Linked DNA regions of Oryctolagus cuniculus. The protein of the gene in region 1 interacts with the protein of each later gene in a pairwise test. Links are inferred from orthologs where the notes say so. Each region holds a gene or a part of one and is shown in the gene's direction. Other genes may lie near its edges. The genes, in order: MFAP1, VPS52, BEND7, BICD2, CARD9, MAD1L1 and KATNBL1.

Region 1 (3,500 bases):
TAAAATTTATTTGATAAGCAGAGTTATAGAAGGAGACAAAGATTTATTTAAAGATTTATTTTATTTGAAAGGCAGAGTTACAGAGAGGCAGAAGCAGAGAGAGAGAAGTCTTCCATTCCTTGGTTCACTCCTCAGATGGCAGCAGTGGCCAAAGCTGTGCCAGTCTGAAGCCAGGAGCCAGGGGCTTCTTCCAGGTCTCCCACGTAGGTGCAGGGGTCCAATCTTATGTTTTTCCAGGCCATAGCAGAGAGCTTGATTAGAAGTGGAACAGCCAGGATTCGAACTGGTGCTCATATGGGATGCCGGCCCTACAGGTAGTGGCTTTACCTGCTAAGCCATGGCACCGGCTCCTTTTTTTCTTTGTGTGTGTGAAATGTCTTATATCGTTTCTTGGCCTTTTGGCTAATATCAAGTGTGGAGAAAGGTCTTTATCTGTTGGTTCACTTCCCAAATGGCTGCAACGACCAGAGCTGGGCCAATCTGGAGCCAGGAGCTTCTTCCAGTTTGCCCATGTGGAAGCAGTGACCCAAGGACTTGAGCCATCTTCTGCTTTCCCAGGCCACAGCAGAGAGTTGGATCAGAAGTGGAGCAGCCGGTATTAGAACCCGCACCCATATGGGATGCCAGTGCTGCAGGCAGATGCTTAAACTACTATGCCACAGTACCAGCCCCAGGAATGTAAATTTTAAGATATGTTTTTCATATCCAGATCTTTAATCCACTTGGGATGTTTCGCTTGTATGATAGAAGTCTATTTTTTCTTTACTATTTTTAATATTTGTTGTATGGATGACCAGTTGTCACACCATTTTTTACTATTATCCACCCTTTTTTATGCTTTTTATTTGGGATACAGATATATAAGAGGGGGACAGGGAGGGAGGGAGAACAAGCACACATCAAAGAGGGAGTGCTCCCATATGTTTGTTCACTGTCCAAATGCTGGAAACTCAATCCGGGTCTGCCTCACAGGGGCAGAAACTCAGCCACTTGAACCATCACTGTTGCATTAGCAGGAAGCTGAAGTCATAAATGGGCTCTCGGAGAAGAAAGACAAGTGTCTTAACTGACATCTCTTAACCACTAGGCCAAATGTCTACCCCTCTCCACTGATTGTTTTTTTTAATATGATTAAATGTTTAAAAATGTTTATTGTTCATTTGAAAGGCACAGAGATAGCAAGAGACAGAAATTTTCCATGTGCTGGTTCACTCCCCAAAATGCCTGCAACCATTGGGGCTATCAGGGCCAAAACCAGGAATCTGAAACTCAGGTTAGGTCTCTCTCATGGAGACAGGGGCTCAGCTCTCTGAGTCATCACTGCAGCCTCCCAGGATGCACATTAGCAGAAAGCCGGTATCAGTAGCAGAGCCAGGACTCAAAGCCACTGCAGTACGGGATATGAGCACCCCACCCCTCTACTGATTTTTACTGTCACTTCAGTAATATGTTCAGGTTCTTCTATACATTTCTCTGCTCTCTATACTGTTAGTCTCTCTCTACTCTTGGAGTCAGACATTGTTTTAATTACTGTAACTTTAAGTCTTGCTGTCTGATACAAACCCTATCCCACTCTATCTATATTCAGAATTGTCTTGGCTATCTACCTCTTCCAATAAAATTGTAGAGTTTTCCTCCTAAAGAAAGAAATTAAATTGGTTACTTTTCTTTCATATTATTCACTGAAATTGTTGGTATTTGTACAAGAGATTGCCTACTCTTGTAGGATTGATAGCACATAAGTTAAAGGAAAAGAAAATACAAAGAGATAAGATTTGGGTGTTGAGTTATGTGGTACTGTGTTATAAAGACTGCCTTGAGCTAGCGCCGCGGCTCACTTGGCTAATCCTCTGGCTGGGGCATCGGGTTCTGTCCCGGTTGCTCCTCTTCCAGTCCAGCTCTCTGCTGTGGCCCAGGAAGGCAGTGGAGGATGGCCCAAGTGCTTGGGCCCTGCACCCGCATGGGAGACCAGGAAGAAGCTCCTGGCTCCTGGCTTCAGATCAGCGCAGCGGCCATTTGGGGAGTGAACCAACAGAAGGAAGACCTTTCTCTCTCACTAACTCTGCTGTCAAAAAAAAAAAAAAAAAAAAAGACTGCCTTGGACATTCCAGAGAGAACTAAAAGAATGTCTGAACAGCTTTTAGTTTTACATTCCCTCTTAAATCACCCTTATTGTGTGCTGGGCTCTGTTACAAATAATTCATTTAATGGTCTAGTTCAAGTGGAATAGCTTGAACGTGTGGAATAGCTTTGAAATAGTGATGGATGCTGTCTGCCTTTTAAGGGGTGTGTTTTTCTAATGTTTTACCACCTCCTTTCCTGCTCTTTACTGTACCCAGGATTGGTCTCATTTCTGTTAGTGTTAGTATTCACAAGAATTCCTTCCTGTATCTTGGCCTGAATAGGTGGATAGGTGGCAACCTGCTTTTTCTGCTTAAACTGTTGTCCACTGAAAATACCGTGTTTTGTGTGCCAAGACCAAGAGTTCAAAGACATGGGGAAACATTATTAATTCTCTATCTCACAGGTGAGATTTCGATGGAGAAAGTGAAGGTAAAACGTTATGTGTCCGGGAAGAGGCCTGACTACGCCCCTATGGAGTCCTCTGATGAAGAGGATGAAGAATTTCAGTTCATTAAGAAAGCCAAAGAACAAGAAGCAGAGCCTGAGGAACAGGAAGAGGATTCATCAAGTGATCCCCGGCTGCGGCGTTTACAGAACCGTATTAGTGAAGATGTGGAAGAGAGGTAATGACTAGGGCTGTGTCTCCCTGAACCAGGTTAATTAACAACAGCGACAGTAGTAATAGCCAGGACTTGAATAGTACTTACTGTCGTTTACACTGTTCCAAGTAGATAATATTTACTAATTCTTGTAATCCACATGGTAACATTATGAGATAGATATTACTTGTCCCATTTTGTAAATGACACAAATGTGCTAGAAAAGTAATATGACCAAAATTGCACAAGTGGCAGCTTTAGAAAACAGCAGGTTAGGGGCCAGTGTTGTGATATAATGGGTTAAGCCATTGTCTGCAGCACTGGCATCCCATATGGGTGCAGGTTTAAGTCCTGGTTGCTCCACTTCAGATCCAGCTCCCTGCTAATATACCTGGGAAAGCAGTGGAAGATGGTACAGGTGCTTGGGCCTCTGTGCCCAAATGGAAAGCCTAGAAGAAGCTTCTGGTTCCTGGCTTTGGCCTGGCCCAGCCCTGACCATTGCAGCCATTTGGGGAGTGAACCAGCATATGGAAGATTTCCTTCTCTTCTTTCTCTCTCTTTGTAATTCCTTCAAATAAATAAATAAATAATAAATCTTTTTTTTTTTTTTTAATGTAGGCTACTTCTGGCCCAGAGGTGCTAATTGTTAAGAAAATATGACACAGAGATGATGTGTTGGTTTAATGAAGGTAGTCTCTTTTTTTTTTTTTTTTTTTTAAAGACAGAGTTACAGAGAGAGATAGACACACACACACACACTGAGAGGTCTTCCAATCA
Region 2 (3,076 bases), on another chromosome or scaffold:
CATTAGCAGGGAGCTGGATCAGAAGTGGAGCAGCCAGGACACGAACCGGCACCCATATGGGATGCTGGCACCACAGCTCTGGCCCCCACATACCTTTTTTAAATCTGCAGGCTTTCTTTCCTTCTTTCCCCCACTACTCTGCAATTTGTCAGAGAAACTGAGTCATTGAGTCATTTGTCAGGTAGAATGATGGACAGTCTAGGTCTTGCTCGTTGCAATTGCATGGTGTGGCTAAACTGTTCCTGTCAAGAGTATTTCCCATAAATGTTTAGTAAGATGGAAAGACTTGATCAAGTTCCAACTAGATTTTTTTAACAAGGATTTTAAGAATAATTAATTTGAAAGGCAGAGAAAGAGAGTTCCCATCCACTGTACACTGCCCAAATACCCACCACAACCCCTGCTAGGCTGAGCTAAACCTGGGAGCCGGGAGCTCAGTCCAGGTCTCCCACGTGGGTGGAAGGGACCCAGCCACCTGAACCATCACTTTCTGCCTTCCAGGGTGCACATCAGCAGGAAGCTGGTATCAGGAGCCAGAACCAGGGGGGCTGGTGCTGTGACGTAGTGGGTAAAGTGCCTGCATCCCATATGGGTGCCAGTTTGAGTCCCGGCTGCTCCACTTCCAATCCAGCTCTCTGCTACAGCCTGGGAACGCAGTGGAAGATGGCCTAAGTGCTTGGACCCCTGCACCCACGTGGGAAACCTAGAAGAAGCTCCTGGCTTCAGATTGGCCCACTCTGGCCATTGCAGCCATTTGGATAGTGAGCTAGCAGATGGAAGATATCTCTCTCTGCCTCTGCCTGTCTGTAACTCTGCCTTTCAAATAAATAAATAAATCTTTAAAAGGAAAAAAAAAAAAAAAAAAAGAACCATGACTCAAACCCAGGCACTCTGATAATGAGATATTAGCATCCCAACCAGTGTTTTTTAATTGCTAGGCTAAATACCCACCCCTACATTGGTGTCTCTTTGAGGCTCTCAAAAGAGACTGAGCCTTGGTTTCCCCACCCAAGACGGTATCAGACCCAGTTTCTGGATATCAGAGTTGCCAAGTTATTTGCCTTGTGGTATCCCTGCTGCTCCCACCCCCTGGGCTCCAGCTCTGATCCCAATTCCCTGTTTTTGTGCTCCCAGCTCAAGTTAGTTTTTTGTTTTTAAAAAGGGAGATCCTTGGAGATTTCCGCTATCTGTTATGAAACCAGCGATGTCTTAAAGTGTATGACCTTCTCAGAGATGCGCTGTTCTGCTGTGGGCGTGTACTGAGCACCTACCTGGAAGTCTGCTGACTGGGACACTTGCCCGTGTGTGTGTGTGTGTGTGTGTGTGCTTCTCTCCAGGAATTTATTGAAGAGTTGCTGTCTCCCCCTTTTGGGGGTCTGGTGGCATTTGTGAAGGAGGCCGAAGCTTTGATCGAGCGTGGGCAGGCTGAGCGACTCCGAGGGGAAGAAGGTGTGGACGCAGTGTGGTAATGGGGTGAATGGAAAAGAAAAATGCCAGGACACAGGTTACTTGGGGAGGAAGTGAGGCAGGAAAGATGGGCTTGATAGGGCGGATGGCTGTGCCTTGGGGAGGGCTTAGTGGGCTCCGTGGTCACCTGACCTCGTCCCTGTCTATTACTCTCCTTTTCCTCCTGCTGCCAGCCCGGGTGACTCAGCTGATCCGCGGTTTTGGCAGCTCCTGGAAGTCATCAGTGGAGTCTCTGAGTCAGGACGTAATGCGGAGTTTCACCAACTTCAGAAATGGAACGAGTATCATCCAGGTGACCTGCGGCTCCCGTGTGTCCCCATGGCTGCTTACTGCCCTTTCCCCTGCGCTCGGCGTCAGCCCAGCCACCCTCGCTCTTCACCACCGGCGGTGCTGGACGATTCCTAGTCATCCTCCCTAGCGCCACCCCACTCCCCAGTCTGACCCCTCGGTGGCTTCTCTGACCAGGGGGCGTTGACCCAGCTGATCCAGCTCTACCATCGCTTCCACCGGGTGCTGTCCCAGCCCCAGCTCCGCGCCCTCCCTGCCCGGGCTGAGCTCATCAACATTCACCACCTCATGGTGGAGCTCAAGAAGCACAAGCCCAACTTCTGAGGCGCCGGGACCTCTCCAGGGACGCCGCACCCCAGCTCCTGCCCTTCTCCTCCTGGGCGTCCCCTTCCTGTTGGCCCCGGCCCCCCAGGCCTTTGACATGCCCCAGTCTGCCCTCGCTCCCGGGACCCTGCTCCGCAGGGTGAGCTGGAGCCCTTGGCCTGCTGAATCTCCCAGTGTCTTCAGGCTGCCCCAGACTCTCTCCTGGTTTTCCAAACGACCTTCCTCCTGTTCCCAATTTTGTCAGCCTCCTCCTCTGCCCCCACACACCCCAGGCTCTTCCCCAGTGAAAACCTTTGCTGCCTCGGTCTCTCACTCAGCTCTTGGCAAGGGGAGACTGCCTCCAAGTCATTTCTTTATTCCTTCACTCAAAGTGATGCATTTTCGGGAGCTTTCTGACCTGAGATCTCAGCAGTGTGAACACTAACCCATCCCCTCCTGGCTGGAGGATTAGGCCAAGGCCAGTCTGCAGAAAACAATAAATATTTAATACAACTTGATACTCTTCACCCATTTCCTTGCTCCTGCCTCCTGGGGCCTCCAAGCAGCCATCTCATCTCCAGAGTCCGTTCCTTCTCTGACCACTTCCTGGGCTCACAGCCTTTTGGGGGATATCTCTAAGGAAGGGGCAGGGATAGTAACATCTGACCTCTAGTGGCCTCAGGGAGGGGACTAGTTCGTGAGTAACCAAGCTACTGGTGGCTTCTGGTTAAAATGGCAGATGCGGGCAGGCACTGTGGCACAGCAGGTTAAGTGTCCATGTAAGATGCCCATATCCCAGGTGAGAGTTCTGACCTCGGTCTCAGCTGCTCTCTCCTTATTCCAGCCTCCTCTAATGCCTGGGAGGCAGCAGGTGGTGGCCCAGCAACTGGGTCCCTGCCACTCACCTGGGAGACCGATGTAGTTCCTGGCTCCTGGCTTTGGCCTGGACCAGCCCTGGCTGTTGAGAGTATTTGGGGAATGAACCAGAAGATAGAAGATCTGCCTTTCAAATAATTTT
Region 3 (4,090 bases), on another chromosome or scaffold:
ATAACAGCTTTCTGGTTTTGTCCTTTATTCTAGCATGAACACGTCAAGTGGCAGCGGCCCCTGCACCTGCGTTGACCCTGGTTTCCCTGAGCCTTCAGAGCCATGGAGCATCCCTCATCCTCTCCCACACTCTCCAAAACCCACATTCCAAGTGCTTTCCTGGAGTATAACTCGGGCTCCTCCGTCAGTCTCTCAGATCGGGATAAAGAATTGAAGCTCACTCTTTTTTATACTCTTCTCACCAATAAATTCTAAATCCTCTTTAAGTTTTCTCGTAGAGCAATGATGGGTTAGTCCGACCCCCCCCCCAAAAAAAAAAAAAAAAAAAACTTGCGTAAAATCAGTGAATCTTGCCCACGCACTGATGTTTCGGATCTGGGCTGGCCAAGGAGGGTCCACGACCCCTAGGATTATTTATAACAAGAGGCTCACTCCCAGGGAGCAGCCAAGGGTGACCGGAAAGGGGGTTCTGAGAGCTGAGGCCCCGGCAGCAGCCCCGGCGTCCCCGGGGGCAGGCCGGCCGGGCCCGGGCCAGGGCGCTGCGCCGCGGCCTCCGCGCCTCCTCGGGGCGCCGCGCGGCCAGGCCGGTGGCGGCGGCGGCAGCGGCGGCGGCCCCCAGGGATGGCGGCGGCCGGGCTCCGCCAGCAGGTGGCCCCGGGGTCCCGGCGGCACCGCCCCCTCCGCCGGTGCCCCTCCTCCCGCGGGGGCGGTCAGCGCCCCGGCCGGCTCCGCACCCGCCGCCGCCGCCGCCGCCTCCCTCCCCTCGGCCCGCCCGCGTCCCCGGGGCCGCCGCCGCCGCCGCCGCGTCCGCAAGCTGAGCCCAGGCGGGCCGCGACGAGCGCCCAGGGCGCCGGCAGCTCCGAGCCCTCGCCGCCGCCGCCGCCGCCGCCGCGCCCTCCCCGCCGCCGCCGCCGCCCGGCCCGCTCCCCACGGAAAGTTGCGCTGCGGCGAGCGGCGGCTTGGAAACAGCGAGCCGGCATGAGAGAGGGTCGGGGGGGCGCCTAGGGCACCGGGAGGCGGCGCCGCGCGGGGGCAACTTCTCCCCGGAGCCCACGCCGCCGGCCCCGCGCCTGCAGCCCCTGAGCGGGCTCGCGGTGGTTCCTGCCGTCCCTCGGCCTCCCCCTCCCACCCCACCCCCCCTCCGATTCGAGACGCGGACCTTGGTCCCGGCGGCTCCGCGGCGGTGACACGAGCCCGCGCCGCCGCCGCCGCCGCCGCCGCCGATCCGCCGCCTCAGCCTCCGCCGGCCGCAGTCGCCGCCGCCGCCGCCGCCGCCGCCTTCCCCGCACCATGGAGTTCTCTGAGAGGAAAAGAAGCAGGAAATCCCAGAGCTTCAAACTGGTGAGCCGAGGTAAGCGGTCGGCCAGGGCGGCGGGAGGAAGGACCGGGCGCCGCGCGCTCGGCCCCGCGCCCCCGGCCGCCCGCGGGGGGTCCACGCCGGGGGGCGCGCCCCTCCCGGAGCCCCGGTTCCCTCCCGAGCCGGGCGGCCCCGGGCCCGCGGCCGCACACCCGCACACGCCGGGCGCCGGGGAAAGTTGTGCCGGGGGAGGCAGGATGTTATTGAACGTAAACAAGTCGGAGGGCACGTCAGGAAATTAGCAAACAATGACTCCTGGGGGCCCGAGCCCTCTTTTGGGGTGTCCTCGGCGCTGGGCCGGGGTAGTGGAGGGTTGCCTGGCCCATCAGGCCGAGAGTGGACGGTCGGACCCATGGTTTGTTGTTTTTGTTTTTGCATTTTCGCCCAAAGGGAACGGGGAAAGATGACCGTTGTTCTTGTAAGCTCGGTGGAGGTCCAAGCCCGAAGCAGAATCATTGCCACCCAGTATCTTTCCTAGCTAGCTGGTTTGGCGTGGAAAGGTGTTTCAGACAAGATCACACAGCAGTCAGCCAAGTATCATTGAAAACAACAGCAAAACAAAACCAGCTAGTTCCCGACCATTTAACAGGTGTACAGTACACTCTTGGGGCGTTTATTTCCATCGAGGGAGGGGGAGCTTGGATACAGCCTTGTGCACCGTTCAGTTACTTGTTAGAGTCTGTATCTTCCTGGCTGGACTTTTAAAAAATTGATCAGAACCAAAGATAAGAGCAGTCGTGACAATATGCCTGTCAGAAGCTATTGTGGCACCTTAAATTCTAGGCAGGTGCCTTTTTTTCCTTGTAATGCCATGGGTCCTGATATTTACCGAGTTTAGACCCACCCTGTTTAAATATCTTTGAATCAACTTGAGGTCAAAGCCAAACCACAGAGCCAGTCCACTTTTCCTCTGTTGTATCTAGCATTGGCATCAGAGGCCAGAGCAACACGATTGTTCCAGCAACCTGCAGAAGTCACATGTAAACCGCTGAAAATTAGAAGGCAATTGCAAGTAATTGAGTTTTTCAGACAAAGCTGCTGTGATGTGGATTCAGTAAAGCCCACTTTTGATTAGTCTGGAAAAACAGTTTAATTATAGACATTTTGAGGATCTACCCATAGCTGTTTCCCCTAATTTAGTTTGGATACTGTTTAATGAAAGAGGCCTGAAATAGTTTACGAATTGAAAATATTTGGCCCTCCCCCTCTTTCCTTTGTAATTTTTTTTTTGGTCCACAGCAGTGTTGATTACTCAGTTATTTGTACTTTAAAACTCTCCCTGTGTAACTGCGCTGTTGGTGCTATCTGATTCATTCAGGAATGCAGGCTGCTTTTATGGATGACCTCAGGGAACTTACTACTTTATCTTACAAGTGAGAGTAGTTTTGTCCACGTTGTCCTGTGAGATCCAAGGCCAGAAAAACGGAAGAGCTGTTAACCAGGAGCCTCTATTTTCATATCCAGGCGTCCTCCTTGAGAAATGAGAAGGTTGCCAAAGCGAAGAAGCCTCCGTAGAGAAGCTTTTAAAACAGTGTTTTGTAAACTTTGGCTAACACAGCAAGTTTTTCCTTCTCCTTTTCTTTTTCTTCCTTTCTTTTTTTTTTTTTTTTATATGAGTTTGATTCTTCTCTGTCCTCTGCAGGTGCATTTTTAGAAAATAAACCATTGCCTATTAAATAAAGTGCAGTGGCTGAATAACAAAATTCACTTGAGTGAAAGATGAAAATCTTGCTTTCTCATCCAAATTACACTGAATTTAAAATAACAAATCAGTGTTTCACGTGTGCTTGTCTGTATGCTGCTTAAAGGCTGAGACTTTCTGGGTAACCTGTGAGTGCTAGGTCACTCCGAGGCATACCGCTGTCAGGTTCACGAGAGCGGGTTACGTGGAGATAAATTTGGAGTCTCACCCCAGCCCATCATTTGGCATGATTTTTCTTTTCCCTGTAAACGTACTTCCTATCTCAAAGAAATGAAACCTAATAATTGATATCTGTGGGCAAAATTCACCATGAAAAAAAAAAAAGTGATGAAGCAAAGCTGTTTTCTAAAGTCAGACTGATACTTCAAGACTGTATGCATCAGAGTATAGGCAAAGTTTTAGGGGTTACTATTAACTACAAATTCTATGAATAACTGAATTCTCAAAAATGTGTATAGGTTACACATACTGTATAGAATGAAATTCTAGTCTTTAGTGCTTGATCTTACCTTGAGGTCATTAGAATTCTAATTTTTCCTCATTTTCTCATACCAGATTATCACCATGAGGTTTATAAAGTCTCAGAATTCAGCAGCGATGTTAACGGGGAGGCCAAAGAGACGCAACCCATTTTTTTAGGTAGGTTCCTATGTCAATTAATTTCTCAGCAAAACGGTGTGGCCATTTGCAATTAGGAAAAGAAGAAGGAAAAAAAAAAAGATTGTGCAAGAACGGGAAATGTCTGCCATTGCTTAATGTATGACATTCTTTCCAAGACCTTTTATTTTACAGATTGCCAATAGATCCCTTATTAACATTGCTAAAAGTTGTAATTTCAGACATAAATGTTTATTAGTGTCTACACACAGTGCTAATTATCACTCACTCACAGAGCCAGATGCTGACTGTGCAGTTTTGTCGCTCTGTGCTCACCCCATTTACATTGCATATTCGCTGGCATGCTTCACTGGCAATAGTTTGTGTAATTGGGGTATTACATCTTTGACATCTGGATAACAGAAATTCAATTT
Region 4 (2,612 bases), on another chromosome or scaffold:
AACGAGAAGGCCATGGTAACCGAGACCATGATGAAGCTGCGCAACGAGCTCAAGGCCCTCAAGGAGGACGCGGCCACCTTCTCCTCCCTGCGAGCCATGTTCGCCACCAGGTAACTGCGCTGAAGCCCCCCCACCCCCACCTTCTCTGAGGCCTGCGGGTCAGTGCCTGTGTCCAGCGCCACTGCGAGTGACACGTGTTTGGGAAGTGTGGCCCCAGCCCAGCCCTGGCATACACAGTGGAGCTGGAGTTGGTGATGAGGGAGGGTGAGAAGGTGCCCGAGTGCGGAGTGTACTTGGTAGGCGCCGTGTGTGGCCAGCGGCAGCAGAGGGTGTGTGGTTCTCCTCCGTTCCTGCTGCTGCCCGCCTGGCCCCAGGAACCTGGTTCTGTGGGGCTGTTTTCATTTTAGTGTTACCAAGCCCTAGCAAGCCCAGTTGGTCCTGTTTTGTAAGGAGATCAAGGGAGCAGGCCCCAGAGAGGGTGGGGAAGTGCTTGACCGTCCTGGGGTCCTAACGGCCAACAGTTACCAGGCTGACTTGAGGTGACAGACCAGCCCTGAACTCACCTGGCTGGGGCTGCGGGTTCACCGGTTGCCCTCCTAGCTGGAGTGGGATCCCACCTTTGCGCAGCTCCAGGCTTCTGCATCCCCATGACCCTTGGCGTTCAGTTCCTCTTCCCTGAAGGGACTCTTAGTGAGGGTCTCTTGGGTGAGCCAGGGGCTGCCCTGCACGTGCATACCCGACACAGGCTGAGGAAGGTCAAACCCAACACTGAGAAGCAAGGCCCTGCCTTTCACTCTCTAAGGTGGGTGGCACCACCTGCTGGCCGTTATGGGGACTGCCAGGACAGGCAGAAGAAAGGAGTGCCAGGGTTTTTCTAGGAGCGTTGCTTTTCCTGGGGATAGGAAAGTGCTTGAGAGAGATTCCCCAGGTCCCCCACATCTAGAAGATAAACTATAGCTTTGTAAACTTGTTGTGTTTAAAGTCCTGACTTTTCAGATGGAGCCAGGATTCAGACCCTGGAGGCTATGTCCCCAAGGGGATGCCGATTGGCCCCTGTCTGGTGGGGCCCCTGTGTCTCAGTGTCTCTGCCAGGCCCCAGCCAGCCCCTCAGTGGGTTGGTGGGCAGGTGGGCAGAAGCCCAGGGACAGTGTGAAGTGGGTGTCTCTCTCTTCCCCTGCTCTCACCGGGGTGGAGCAGATGAGTCACAGTTAGGCGGAGGCCCAGGCGCCGGGACAGACTGCCTGTGGCATCCACACACACCTGTGCTTTGCTCCGGTTGTCATCAGCACAGATCGATTGAGCACTGGCCATGTGCCTGCAGCAGGCACAAGCCCAGGCCTGCTTTGAGTTCATGCCCACCTCGAAGCTCGTGCTGTCTCAGCATGCCGACCGACCCTGAAGTAGGGGCCACTGCCCCAGAGGAAGCTGCGTCCTGGGGGGCACAGCCTCTTTCTGAGAACCACTTCCTGCCCAGTGAGCTCAGCAAGCCCTGCACCAAATGAGTCCGCTCACTTTACAGGGCCGCGCGGGCCGGTCAGAGGCTCTGTCTGAGCAGCGCCTTGCTGAGTGAAGCCACAGCGAGGCCCCCAGCCCTCTGGGGAGGCTGCCGTGCTGTGCCATGCCGTGCCCTGGCCTCACCGCGCTCTGGTCCCCACAGGTGTGACGAGTACATCACACAGCTGGATGAGATGCAGCGGCAGCTGGCGGCCGCTGAGGATGAGAAGAAGACGCTCAACTCGCTGCTGCGCATGGCCATCCAGCAGAAGCTGGCGCTCACCCAGCGGCTGGAGCTGCTCGAGCTGGACCACGAGCAGGCCCGGCGGGGCCGCGCCAAGGCCGCCCCCAAGGCCAAGCCGGCCACCCCGAGTGTAAGTCACGCCTGCGCCTGCGCCAGCGACAGGGCCGAGGGCACTGCGCTCACCAGCCAGGTGTTCTGCAGCGAGAAGCAGAGCATTTACTGTGATTAGGCTGCGGGCTCCACACACGGCAGCTAACTCGTTCCTGCTTCACTCACTTAACCCAGCACGGCGGGGCCGCGGGGCGAGGCTGATCCTAACGTGACTAACGCACGGGGCCAGGATTCGGGCTGAGCGGCGGGCGGCACCGGTCGGCGGGACTCTCGTGAGCTTCATGTCGCCTCTCATTTCTTACAGCCCTCAGGAGCTCCCTAGGGGCCGAGGTGGGGAAAAGGAGCACATGCCGTCGGGGAAGACAGACACGCAGAAGTGTCTTCCAGGGCCCTGGGTGCTGGGAGAGCCCAAGGGAAGGGGTCCTGGCCCCACCCCTGGGCTCCCGTGGAGGGGCAGGGTCTGAATGGAAACCTGCATGTTCCTCGCATGTCTCACGTCAGAAAGCAGTTTTAGGAGGTTCTGGCCTGCTGAAGGGCCTCAGACCATAGCCTGTACCGGGCCTGGTTTTATGGAGAGAAGGATGTAGATGGTGCAGCATCTCACTGCACATCAGTCAGTGTAAAGGCACAGGATGGCTTTCCCCAAAACCCAGAGAACAGACCTGAGCTACCCTCCGCAGATGGCCCCCACAGCACAGACACAGCCAGTGAGAGCAGGAGGGCAGAGCTCCGCGGCCTTGGCTCCCCATTTGAGACCTGCACA
Region 5 (2,781 bases), on another chromosome or scaffold:
CGGGTCTCCCCCACAGCGGGCAGGGCCCAGTACCCCCAGGTGCGTTAGCGGGAAGCTGGATCAGGAGCAGAGGCGGGGCCTGGTCCCAGGCGCTCCGACCCGGGCAGCGGCCTCACGCAGGGCGCCGCAGTTCCCCAGACGCAGACCCAAGTCCACGGGCAACAGCGCGGGCCCGGCCCACGTGGCCGGCTCGTCGCAGAGCCGTGTCGGAGGCTCAGGGCCCACGCGTGTGTCCCGCAGGCCATCGCCACGCGGGGGCAGCTGCACTCCCAGCACGCGTGCAGCCTGCAGGAGAAGGACGCCCTGCGCAAGCAGCTGCGGGAGCTGCGGGAGAGAGCGGACGAGCTGCAGGTGCAGCTGCTGCAGTGCCAGAGCCGCCTGCTGGCCGCCGAGGGCAGGCTCCAGGGGCAGCAGCCGGACACGCTCGCCCTGGTGGGCCCCGGGACACGGGGGGGGGGGGAGGTGGGCCCCAGGACACGGGGGGGGGTGGGCCTCAGGGACCCCAGGACACGGGGCAGGGAGGGGAGGGGAGGTGTGGTGGGCCCCCAGGACACGGGGCGGGGGGAGGTGCTGGCCGCTGAGGGCAGGCTCCAGGGGCAGGAGCCGGACACGCTCGCCCTGGTGGGCCCCCAGGACACGGGGGGGGGGGGAGGGGAGGTGTGGTGGGCCCCCAGGACTCGGGAGGGGAGGTGATGGCTGCCGAGGGCAGGCTCCAGGGGCAGGAGCCGGACACGCTCGTCCTGGTGGGCCCGGGGACCCCAGGACACGGTGGGGGGGGAGGTGTGGTGGGACCCCAGGCGGGGGGGGAGGGCCCATTCTGGCTGGGGGCTGCAGGAGGCGCAGCCTCCCCTCGCCTGCTGACCGGCCCCTGTCCTGTGGCTGCAGAGCTGGGACCTGGAAGACGGCTCGCCCAGGGACTCGGGGGAGGTGAGCAGGGCCCCTCCCCACACCAACCAGGAAAGGGGGCCGGGCCGGGTCTGGGGAGGGGCAGCGGTGACCTCGCCCTCTCATCGGAAGCTGCAGCTCCCCGGGGACCCGGAGGACGCCCGGCCGTGCGACAAAGGTGAGGAGGGCGCCGTGCCCGGCCCACACCTGGTCCCTGCCCGCACGGGAGAGAGGCTGGGCACAGGGACTGTGACCTGGACAGCCGCTGCGCGGGGCCGGGCTGGGGCCCCCACCCTAACCCAGGGAGGACACGGCAGGCCTGTGGCCCCCAGCCTGCCCTCAGCCAGGAGGCGGTGACAGGAGCCCGTGGGCGGGGCCTGGGCGTTGATTGGGCAGAGCGGGATCCGTCAGCAGCCTGGAGGCGGGGCTGGGCGGCAGGAGGACTGGCCCGCGTGCGTGCGTGCGTGCGGTTCAGGTGGGCGGTGGGCCCAGTGCGCGGTAGGGGGGTCCCTGGGGGAGCCAGACCGACTTCCTCAGCGTCAAACGCGACCCAGCCTCTGGGCAGGAGCAAAAGCGGAAGCTGCAAATGGAGAAGTGTGGGTGGGCGGGCACTGGCCTCGAGGCCACGGAGCCCCGCGTGGCCGAGGCGGGCGGGACCCAGGTCCAGCTCAGCTCTGCCCAGCGGTGGCAGGTGCGAGCCGTCCGCGGCCCTGCAGGCGCGCACACGTGTGTGTGCCCAGGACACGGCCGAGGCCTGGCCACCGGCGCCGAGTGGGCTCTGGGCCGCCCCCAGGGGCCGTGGCGTCCACAGCTCTGCCGGACCCACGACACGGGACTCCGCTCGCAGGTGGCCTGGGGGTGACCGAGCCGCACAAGGAGATTTCACCGAGCCCCCACGTAAGGCCAGGGGCGGTCCCCCACCCCGGGAGCCCCCAGCCCAGAGCCCCCTGGACGGCTGGGGAGGGGCGCGGGAGCCTCGGCCGGCGCTGAGCCCGCCCCTTCCCCAGGACGCGGGCCTGGGCAGCGAGCCCCCGGAGAAGGAGCGGCGGCGGCTCAAGGAGAGCTTCGAGAACTACCGCAGGTGCGCGCAGGGCTGGGGCGGCGCTGAGCGCGCGCCTGCCCACCGCGGCCCGCCCACCTGCGGCCCTGCCCACCCGCGTCTCCGCAGGAAGCGCGCGCTCAGGAAGACGCAGGACAGCTGGCGGCACGGGGAGGTGGACCGGGACAACACGACGGGCAGCGACAACACGGACACCGAGGGCTCCTAGCGGCCCCGGGACACACCCCCGCGGGGACCCCCCTGGAGCCCGGGGCTCCCGCCGTGGGGGCGGGGGGTCAGCCGTTGTACCCTCCGCCCGAGCACAGCAGGCGGGCAATAAAAAGGCACCTAGAACGACCCGCGTCCGCGTCCTCGCGCGCGTGTCCCGCGCCGAGCCCGGCGTGCGGGGCCCGGGAGGCCGGCGCAGCGCCGCGAGCCGCCGCGAGGGGGCAGCAGAGCGCGGCACCGGAAGTCGGCGCCGCCACTTCCGCCCGCCCCAAGATGGCGGCGGCGTGACCGCGGCATGCTGAGGGCGGCGCTGGGGCGCGCTGCGGGGCTGCTGGGTCGCCCGCGGCCCCAGGGACCCGGCCCGAGGCGGCTGTGGGGCCGCGGGGCCCGCCCGGCGGTTGCGGGGAGTCGGCGGGCCGGGGGCTGGGCCTGGGGCTGGCGGCACTCGAGCTCGGAGCCGGGGCCCCAGGCGGCGGGGCGCGTGCAAGCGGCGCACTACCAGCTCGTCTACACCTGCAAGGTGGACTTCCGGGAGGGGCGGGGCCGCGCGCGCGGTGGGTGGGGCTGCCCTGGGGGCGGAGCCTCCCTGAAGGACACGGCTCGCAGTGGGTGGGGCTGCACTCGGGGGC
Region 6 (3,500 bases), on another chromosome or scaffold:
CCCCAGGGGCTGCTGTTGCAGCGGGATTCAGTTCCCAGGTCCGTTATCCTTAAGGCAGGGAGGTTGCCGGGGGAGCCCGACCTAACCGTACGAGCCCTTTGAAAAGACTGGTGCCGAGGCCGGCGCTGTGGCGCAGCCGGTGAAGCTCCCCACGCAGTGCCGACATCCCACGTGGGCGCCGGTTCCAGTCCCGGCTGCTCCACTTCCCATCCAGCTCTCTGCTGTGGCTCTGTGCTTGGGCCCTGCACCCACAGGGGAGACCCGGAAGCAGCTCCTGGCTTCGGATTGGCTCAGTCCCACCTATTGAGTCCATCTGGGGAGTGAACCAGCGGATGGAGACCCCTCTCTCTCTCTCTCTCTCTCTCTCTCTCTCTCTCTCTCTGCCTCTGCTTCTCTTAGCTCTGCCTTTCAAATAAATAAAATCTTTAAAAAAGAAAAAAACTGCAAGTGAGAGGCTGCAGTGACGTCTCTGCTACCCACGTGGTGGCCCCGTGGAGCTCCAGGCTCCCGCTTCAGCCTGGCCTGGCCCCCGCTGTTGCCGGTGTTTGGGGAGTAAACCAGAAGCCAGTATCCTGTCTGTCTGTCTGTCTGTCTGTCTCTGTGTTGCTCTGCCTTCAAGAAGAAAGTACAGGGAGGTGTCCAAGGCGGAAGCCAGACTTGACTTGGAGGGGCCACGTGGCAGGGCCTGAGGGAGCTTCCCATTGCTCCTGGCAGCCCAGGCCAGCGGGGAGGTGGGACGCCGGGCGAGCGCAGGCTGGGCGAGCGCAGGGTCTGTGCGGACGGCTGGGGCGCTGGCACGTTTGACACGCGTACCGAGCTGCCCTGTGCTTTGTTGGCCCTGCAGTTGGAGGAAAGAGCAGAGCAGATCCGTTCCAAGTCCTACCTCATCCAGGTGGAGCGGGAGAAGATGCAGATGGAGCTGAGCCACAAGAGGGCCCGGGTGGAGCTGGAGAGGGCGGCCAGCACCAGCGCCAGGAACTGCGAGGTGGGTGCCGGGCTGCGTGCCTGCCGGGGCAGGGCCTGCCCCGACCCTGGGAGCAGCCAGGTGGGGGCAGGGCCTGCCCCGACCCTGGGGACAGCCAGGTAGGGGCAGGGCCTGCCCCGTGCCTGAGGACAGCTGGGTGTGGGCAGGGCCTGCCCCGTCCCTGCCCGTCCCTCCCCGTCCCTCCCCATCCCTGGGAGCAGCCAGGTGGGTGCAGGGCCTGCCCCGTGCCTGCCCCGTCCCTTCCCGTCCCTGAGAGCAGCCAGGTGTGGGCAGGGCCTGCCCCATCCCTGCCCGTCCCTCCCCGTCCCTGAGAGCAGCCAGGTGGGGGCAGGGCCTGCCCCGTCCCTCCCTGTCCCTGAGAACCGAGCCAGCCCTCTGGAAACCCGCGGTGCTCGGTGTTGGGGTTGCCAGGGTGTTTCATCTGAGGCCATCTGATGGCGTGAGTCCGGCGTCACCTGTGCCCGATGTCCCGGGGGAGGGTGGCCTGAAGCAGAGGACAGTCCCCGTCGTGAGGCGCTGACGCGGGCAGATGTTCCCTAGCCAGGCCTCCTGCGTCCCTCCTCCCTGTGCAGGTGTGGAGCAGAGCCGGCAGAAGTGCCTGGTAGCACGCAGGTGGCAGGCTTAGAAAGTCACCAGTGTGTGAGGGTTTTGGGGTCCAGGCTGGGTCTCGCTGGGGTGGCTGTCGGGGGACACCGGCTCACTCGATGCCGGCCGAGCCTGGGTAGAACCTGCCGGCGCCGCAGTAGCTCTTTCCTCTCCAAGCCCAGTTTGGAATTCCGCGTTTCCCTTGCTCCAGCTCCTCCCTGAGCAGTGGCCCCTGCACGTGCACGGCGAGGTGGGCATGGTGGCCTGTGCCCAGTGTCCTCCTGGGCCCTGGTCCCCACGGCAGCAGGGCCCGTGCCGCCTCGTCCTGGTTCCTCCTGACGTGGCCGGCGGCTCTTGCCCTGCTCTTCTCTGGGCTGGGTGGGCTGTCCCGAAAGGGGGGCGTGGAGGAGTCCTCCCAGCGCCCCCTCGGGCTGTCCCCAACGCTGGCCTGTTCTCCCTCTCCACAGCGCGAGGTTGACCGCAATCAGGAGCTGCTGACGCGCATTCGGCAGCTGCAGGAGCGGGAGGCCGCGGCCGAGGGGAAGGTGCAGGAGCAGCGGGAGCGGCACCGGCTGTGCCAGCAGAGCCTGGACGCCACCAGCCAGAGGCTGCGGGAGAAGGAGGACGGCCTGGCCGCGGCCGGCGAGGTGGGTGCAGCCTGTGGGCCCAGACCAGTCTGGCCGCGGTCGGCGAGGTGGGTGTAGTACACAGGCCCGGACCAGCCTGGCCGCGGCCGGCGAGGTGGGTGCAGCCCGTGGGCCCGGACCAGTCTGGCCGCGGCCGGCGAGGTGGGTGTAGTACACAGGCCCGGACCAGTCTGGCCGCGGCCGGCGAGGTAGGTGCAGCCCGCGGGCCCGGACCAGCCCGGCCGTGGCCGGCGAGGTGGGTGCAGTACACAGGCCCGGACCAGCCTGGCCACGGCCGGTGAGGTGGGTGCAGCCCGTGGGCCTGGGACCAGCCTGCTGGCGGCAGTGAGCTTGGCGTGCTCCTAGCCCCTGCACCACGCTGGGTGGCTTTGCTTTCTTTTTTCTTTTCTTTTTTTTTTTTTTTTTTAAGATTTTTATTTATTTATTTGAGAGGTAGAATTACAGACAGTGAGAGAGAGAGACAGAGAGAAAGGTCCCCCCTCTGGTGGTTCACTCCCCAGTTGGCCAGAGCTGTGCTGATCTGAAGCCAGGAGCCAGGTGCTTCCGTGTGAGCGCAGGAGCCCAAGCACTTGGGCCATCTTCCGCTGCTTTCCCAGGCCACAGCAGAGGGCTGGATGGGAAGTGGAGCAGCCGGGACTAGAACCGGCGCCCAGATGGGATGCCGGCACTGCAGGCGGAGGAGTAACCCACTGCGCCACAGCGCCGGCCCCGGCTTCGCTTTCAGCGACGCTTCTCGCACGGTGCTTCCCTACGTAAGCGTAGTAAACGTGCTGATTCTCTGTTCTGTGGTTGTCAGTCGGTTGAGCACTTCTTAGGTTTTGGTGACCATGAACTTCAGTGTTGACCGTTCGTTCCTTGTCGTTTCCCGGTGTCTTGGGCTTTGGATTCACCGCGCTGGCATCAGCGCGGCAGAGCTGCGTGTCTGCGGCCTCTGCGCCTGCCGAGTTACCTTGTGTGGGCAGAGTCGCAGGAGGGGTCCCAGGGTCCCGGCCGGCGCGTCAGGGCTCGCCGCAGCCTGGCCTGCCGTGGAGGGTGGCGTTTCTGGAAATGCCGCTTCTTGTGGTGGTGGGAGGGGGAGGTGGGGTCTCGGGATTTGCGTTTCTCTGATCCTCAGCGAGGCCTGCAAGCCTCTGAGGGCCCCTGAGGTGGCCTTGAAGCCGGTGTCCGGGCGCTGTGGCCCCGGGGAGGCGTGTGTGCCCGAGAGCTGGGAGCTGGACGGCCCGCGCCTTGCCCGTCCCTGTTGCGTGGCGCTCAGCATCACGGCGCTGTGTGGAGCCACGGAG
Region 7 (3,500 bases), about 11 Mb from region 1:
CATTGAAATTGTTAAATTTGTGGATCTCTGGGGCCAATGTTGTGGCATAGTGGGTAGAGCCACTGCCTGTGATGCCAGCATCCCATGTGAGCACTGGCTCCTACACTTCCTATCCAGCTCTCTGCTAATGTGCCTGGGAAAGCAGCAGAAGATGACCCAAGTGCTTGGGCCGCTACACCCATCTGGGAGACAAGGGAGAAGCTCCTGGCACCTGGCTTCAGCCTGGCCCACCTTAGCCCCAGCCATTGTGGCCATTTGGGGAGTAAACCAGTGGATGGAAGATCTCTCTTTCTCTCCTTCTATAACTTTGCCTTTCAAATAAATAAAAAAATTTTTTAAATGGTGAATCTCTTGAAAGCAGTATGAAGATTTTAACATAAATAGGGAATTTTCGGGGCCGGCGCAGTGGTGTAGGGGGTAAAGCCGCTGCTGAGGTGCCGGCATCCCATATGGGTGCCAGCTTGAGTCCCAGCTGCTCCACTTCTGATCCAGCTCTCTGCGATGGCCTGGGATAGCAGTAGAAAATGGCCCAAGTATTTGGGCCCATGCACCCGTGTGCAAGACCCGGAGGAAGCGCCTGGCTTTGGATCGGCACAGCTCTGACTGTTGTGGCCAATTGGGGAGTGAACCAGCAGATGGAAGACTCTGTTCTCCTCTCCTCTTTCTCTCTCTCTCTGTAACTCTGACTTTCAAATAAATAAAATAAATCTTGAAATAAAAAAATTAGGAATTTTCTTTTTGTACCCACAGGATAGAAGATCTTGGAGTTGTAGTAGATTGCCTACCTGTACTCACCAATAGGTAAAAACAATATTTTACCAAAAAAATTACAGAACAAATTATGACTTATTAATGCACATATTTTTAACATAGTATTTATTTTAGTTTACAGGAGGAAAAACACTATATCTCACTTGGCTGCTGCGTGGACTTGTTGCCTCTAGTAAAGTCATTACTTAAAAGCAGATTTGAAGAGTAAGTGCCAAATGAATCAATTGTTTTTCTTTTTGAACATCCTTAATTTTGTTTTCATGAGTTCATATTAGCAAACTGGGCTATGTGAGGCATGTAGTTTCTGTTTTCCATGAGCTTATAGTATAATTAGAAGAACATTAAGTGATTAAATCATAATCATAAAAGGGTTTTAAAAGGGTTACATAAAATATAGTTTATGAAATAGATCGTGAAACTAGTGAAGTAAGTTTATAGAAGGGATGAAAGATCAATGTCTGTTTTTGGAGAAGGGAAGTGTCTTTTGTAATGGCTTTTTAGATGAAAACATTTTGTAACATTGTCATTTCAGATATGTAATAGTTGGTTTAAACTGGCTTCAAGCAGTCATAAAAAGGTGGTGGTCAGAACTGTCATCCAAATCAGAAATCAGAAATGATGGGTGAGTATGTCTTTAAAGGTACCGTCGTGCTGAAGCTTTTTTCAAAAAAGCCGCTTGATTAAACTAGGTGGTAATTTTGTACTGGTATCATCAGCATATATTTATTCTTTTCATTTTCAGAGAAATACTGAGTTGTGATACATGAAAATCAAAACATAGAGGTTGAGTTCCAGAGCCCAGGAACCCCTGTATCTCTTCTCGTAAAACCCAACCCTTCATTTAAGAAAGAAAAAGTTCAATGATGATTTAACAGGGGTTTAATTAGTAAAGGAGAGAAAAAAATACCTGTAATGGGATAAGGGTTGGAAGCATCCTGCAGGGTCCTTAGATTGCCTAGACATATCCTGAGAGTATGATGTTGATTACAGTTCTGAAACTATATTTATAATTATAATTTGAGGACTGCTTTGGTGTGGAAATGCAGTTATTCTACCAAATGAGCCAGATTGTCATGAAACCATAAAAAAAAGAAAATCTCCCTACAATCCCCTTAACATTTATAATTTTCTTACATTATAGTTTTCTTATAAATACTTGAAAATTTTAAACTGTTTTCATCAAGTGAATTTACTAACAAAGGCCATATGCATCTATATTTGCTTTCTCGTTTTTCTTTTTTTCCTCCTAGAAATATTCAGATTTTAAGACAACAATTAAGTGGGTTGTGGGAACAAGAAAACCATCTTACTTTGGTTCCAGGATATACTGGTAATATAGCTAAGGTAATCTCTGTTTTTCTCTTTAATATTTATTTGAAAGGAAGAGTTACAGAGAGCGAGAGAAATAAGATCATCCATCCACTGATTCATGCTCCAAATGGCCACAATAGCCAGCGTTGGGCCAGCCCAAAGCCAGGAGCCTGGAGCTTCATTTGGGTCTCTCATGTGGGTGCAGGGATCCAAGGATTTGGGCCATCCTCTGCTGCTTTCCCAGGCGCATTAACAGGGAGCTGGATCGGAAATGGAGAAGCTGGGACTTGAACCTGGTACACGGTAGTGCTGGCCCCAATCTACATTTAAACTTAAAAATTAGGCATTAAACCAAGAAATAACATAGGATACATTTGTAAATGAGCTCTTCAGTTTCTAGACAAAATAATTGAGTACTGTTCTAACAAGGTGTTAAGTCAATTTATTTCTCTTATTTATTTATTTATTTATCTGAAAGGCAGAGCTACAGAGAGGCAGAGTCAGAGCAAGGTCTTCCATCCACTGATTCACACCCCAAATGGCTACAATGGCTAGAGCTGGGCCGATCTGAAGCCAGGAGCCAGGAGCTTCTTCTGGGTCTCCTATGCGGGTGCAGGGCCTAAGCACCTGGGCCGTCTTCTGCTGTTTTCCAAGGCCATAAGAGAGCTGGATCTGAAGTGGAGCAGCCAAGTCTCGGACTGGTGCCCATAAGGGATGCCGGTACTGCTGGTGGCAGCTTTACCTGCTATGCCGCAACGCTGGCCCCAAGTCAGTTTCATATTTGCAAGTGCTTAAAGTCCTCTGGATGTGAGTGTGACCTTGGCAGGAAGAACAGGAGTTATCCATTGAATGTTTCATATACAGCCACAGAAATACTATGCCACAGGATATTTAATGACCTAGTTCTAATAGAAAAATATCTGAAGAAAAATTAAGAATCCAAATAAGAGCAACATCAGAAGGAAACAAGGGATGAGGAATACATTCAGATGGGTTTAGAATGTTAATTTTTACTTTGCTTTTGCTAATATTTTTTTTTTTTTTTTGAAGATTTATTCTATTTACTTGAAAGAGTCACAGGGAAAGACAAAGAGGGAGAGAAAGAGAGAAAGGTCTTCCATCCGCTAGCTCACTCCCCAAATGGCTGTGACTGGGCCAGGCTGAAGCCAGGAACCAGGAGCTTCCTCAGGGTCTCCCATATGGCTACAGGGGCCCAAGGAATTGGGCCATCCTCCACTGTTTTCCCAGGCACATTAACAGGGAGCTGGATTGGAAGAAAAGCAGCCAGTACTCAAACCAGCAACCATGTGGGATGCTGGCAATGATTTAACCCACCATGCCACAATGCCAGCCCTACTAATATGCTTTTTGAAAAAGTAACCTTTAAATCACAGAATGAATTGGACATTGGTCTTTAT

What was found.
Region 2: the proteins of MFAP1 (region 1) and VPS52 interact in binary tests that used the Homo sapiens proteins (3 or more experiments, as listed by UniProt). The two-hybrid records come from large-scale screens. The link is inferred for Oryctolagus cuniculus from reciprocal best matches to the Homo sapiens genes MFAP1 and VPS52.
Region 3: the proteins of MFAP1 (region 1) and BEND7 interact in binary tests that used the Homo sapiens proteins (3 or more experiments, as listed by UniProt). The two-hybrid records come from large-scale screens. The link is inferred for Oryctolagus cuniculus from reciprocal best matches to the Homo sapiens genes MFAP1 and BEND7.
Region 4: the proteins of MFAP1 (region 1) and BICD2 interact in binary tests that used the Homo sapiens proteins (3 or more experiments, as listed by UniProt). The link is inferred for Oryctolagus cuniculus from reciprocal best matches to the Homo sapiens genes MFAP1 and BICD2.
Region 5: the proteins of MFAP1 (region 1) and CARD9 interact in binary tests that used the Homo sapiens proteins (3 or more experiments, as listed by UniProt). The two-hybrid records come from large-scale screens. The link is inferred for Oryctolagus cuniculus from reciprocal best matches to the Homo sapiens genes MFAP1 and CARD9.
Region 6: the proteins of MFAP1 (region 1) and MAD1L1 interact in binary tests that used the Homo sapiens proteins (3 or more experiments, as listed by UniProt). The two-hybrid records come from large-scale screens. The link is inferred for Oryctolagus cuniculus from reciprocal best matches to the Homo sapiens genes MFAP1 and MAD1L1.
Region 7: the proteins of MFAP1 (region 1) and KATNBL1 interact in binary tests that used the Homo sapiens proteins (3 or more experiments, as listed by UniProt). The link is inferred for Oryctolagus cuniculus from reciprocal best matches to the Homo sapiens genes MFAP1 and KATNBL1.

Annotation. Positions count from the first base shown.
Region 1 is NC_091443.1:66,698,324-66,701,823, reverse strand, and holds part of MFAP1 (microfibrillar-associated protein 1), read left to right. Parts: intron 1-2,527; coding exon 2,528-2,747; intron 2,748-3,500. UniProt on the Homo sapiens protein: Involved in pre-mRNA splicing as a component of the spliceosome.
Region 2 is NC_091436.1:135,863,866-135,866,941, forward strand, and holds the end of VPS52 (vacuolar protein sorting-associated protein 52 homolog), read left to right. Parts: intron 1-1,337; coding exon 1,338-1,449; intron 1,450-1,640; coding exon 1,641-1,759; intron 1,760-1,932; coding exon 1,933-2,079; 3' UTR 2,080-2,576; downstream 2,577-3,076. UniProt on the Homo sapiens protein: Acts as a component of the GARP complex that is involved in retrograde transport from early and late endosomes to the trans-Golgi network (TGN).
Region 3 is NC_091444.1:69,144,408-69,148,497, forward strand, and holds the start of BEND7 (BEN domain-containing protein 7), read left to right. Parts: upstream 1-1,290; coding exon 1,291-1,351; intron 1,352-3,614; coding exon 3,615-3,698; intron 3,699-4,090. Other genes in the region: PRPF18 (pre-mRNA-splicing factor 18), read right to left, coding at 1,160-1,292.
Region 4 is NC_091432.1:146,114,843-146,117,454, forward strand, and holds the end of BICD2 (protein bicaudal D homolog 2), read left to right. Parts: coding exon 1-110; intron 111-1,657; coding exon 1,658-1,967; 3' UTR 1,968-2,112; downstream 2,113-2,612. UniProt on the Homo sapiens protein: Acts as an adapter protein linking the dynein motor complex to various cargos and converts dynein from a non-processive to a highly processive motor in the presence of dynactin.
Region 5 is NC_091432.1:236,670,302-236,673,082, forward strand, and holds the end of CARD9 (caspase recruitment domain-containing protein 9), read left to right. Parts: intron 1-240; coding exon 241-432; intron 433-885; coding exon 886-927; intron 928-1,017; coding exon 1,018-1,063; exon of another isoform or gene 1,064-1,360; intron 1,361-1,678; coding exon 1,679-1,782; intron 1,783-1,892; coding exon 1,893-2,153; 3' UTR 2,154-2,281; downstream 2,282-2,781. Other genes in the region: DNLZ (DNL-type zinc finger protein), read left to right, coding at 2,448-2,672. UniProt on the Homo sapiens protein: Adapter protein that plays a key role in innate immune response against fungi by forming signaling complexes downstream of C-type lectin receptors.
Region 6 is NC_091450.1:37,075,668-37,079,167, reverse strand, and holds part of MAD1L1 (mitotic spindle assembly checkpoint protein MAD1), read left to right. Parts: intron 1-844; coding exon 845-985; intron 986-2,037; coding exon 2,038-2,217; intron 2,218-3,500. UniProt on the Homo sapiens protein: Component of the spindle-assembly checkpoint that prevents the onset of anaphase until all chromosomes are properly aligned at the metaphase plate.
Region 7 is NC_091443.1:55,837,463-55,840,962, forward strand, and holds part of KATNBL1 (KATNB1-like protein 1), read left to right. Parts: intron 1-750; coding exon 751-801; intron 802-885; coding exon 886-975; intron 976-1,303; coding exon 1,304-1,393; intron 1,394-1,513; exon of another isoform or gene 1,514-2,021; coding exon 2,022-2,373; 3' UTR 2,374-3,500.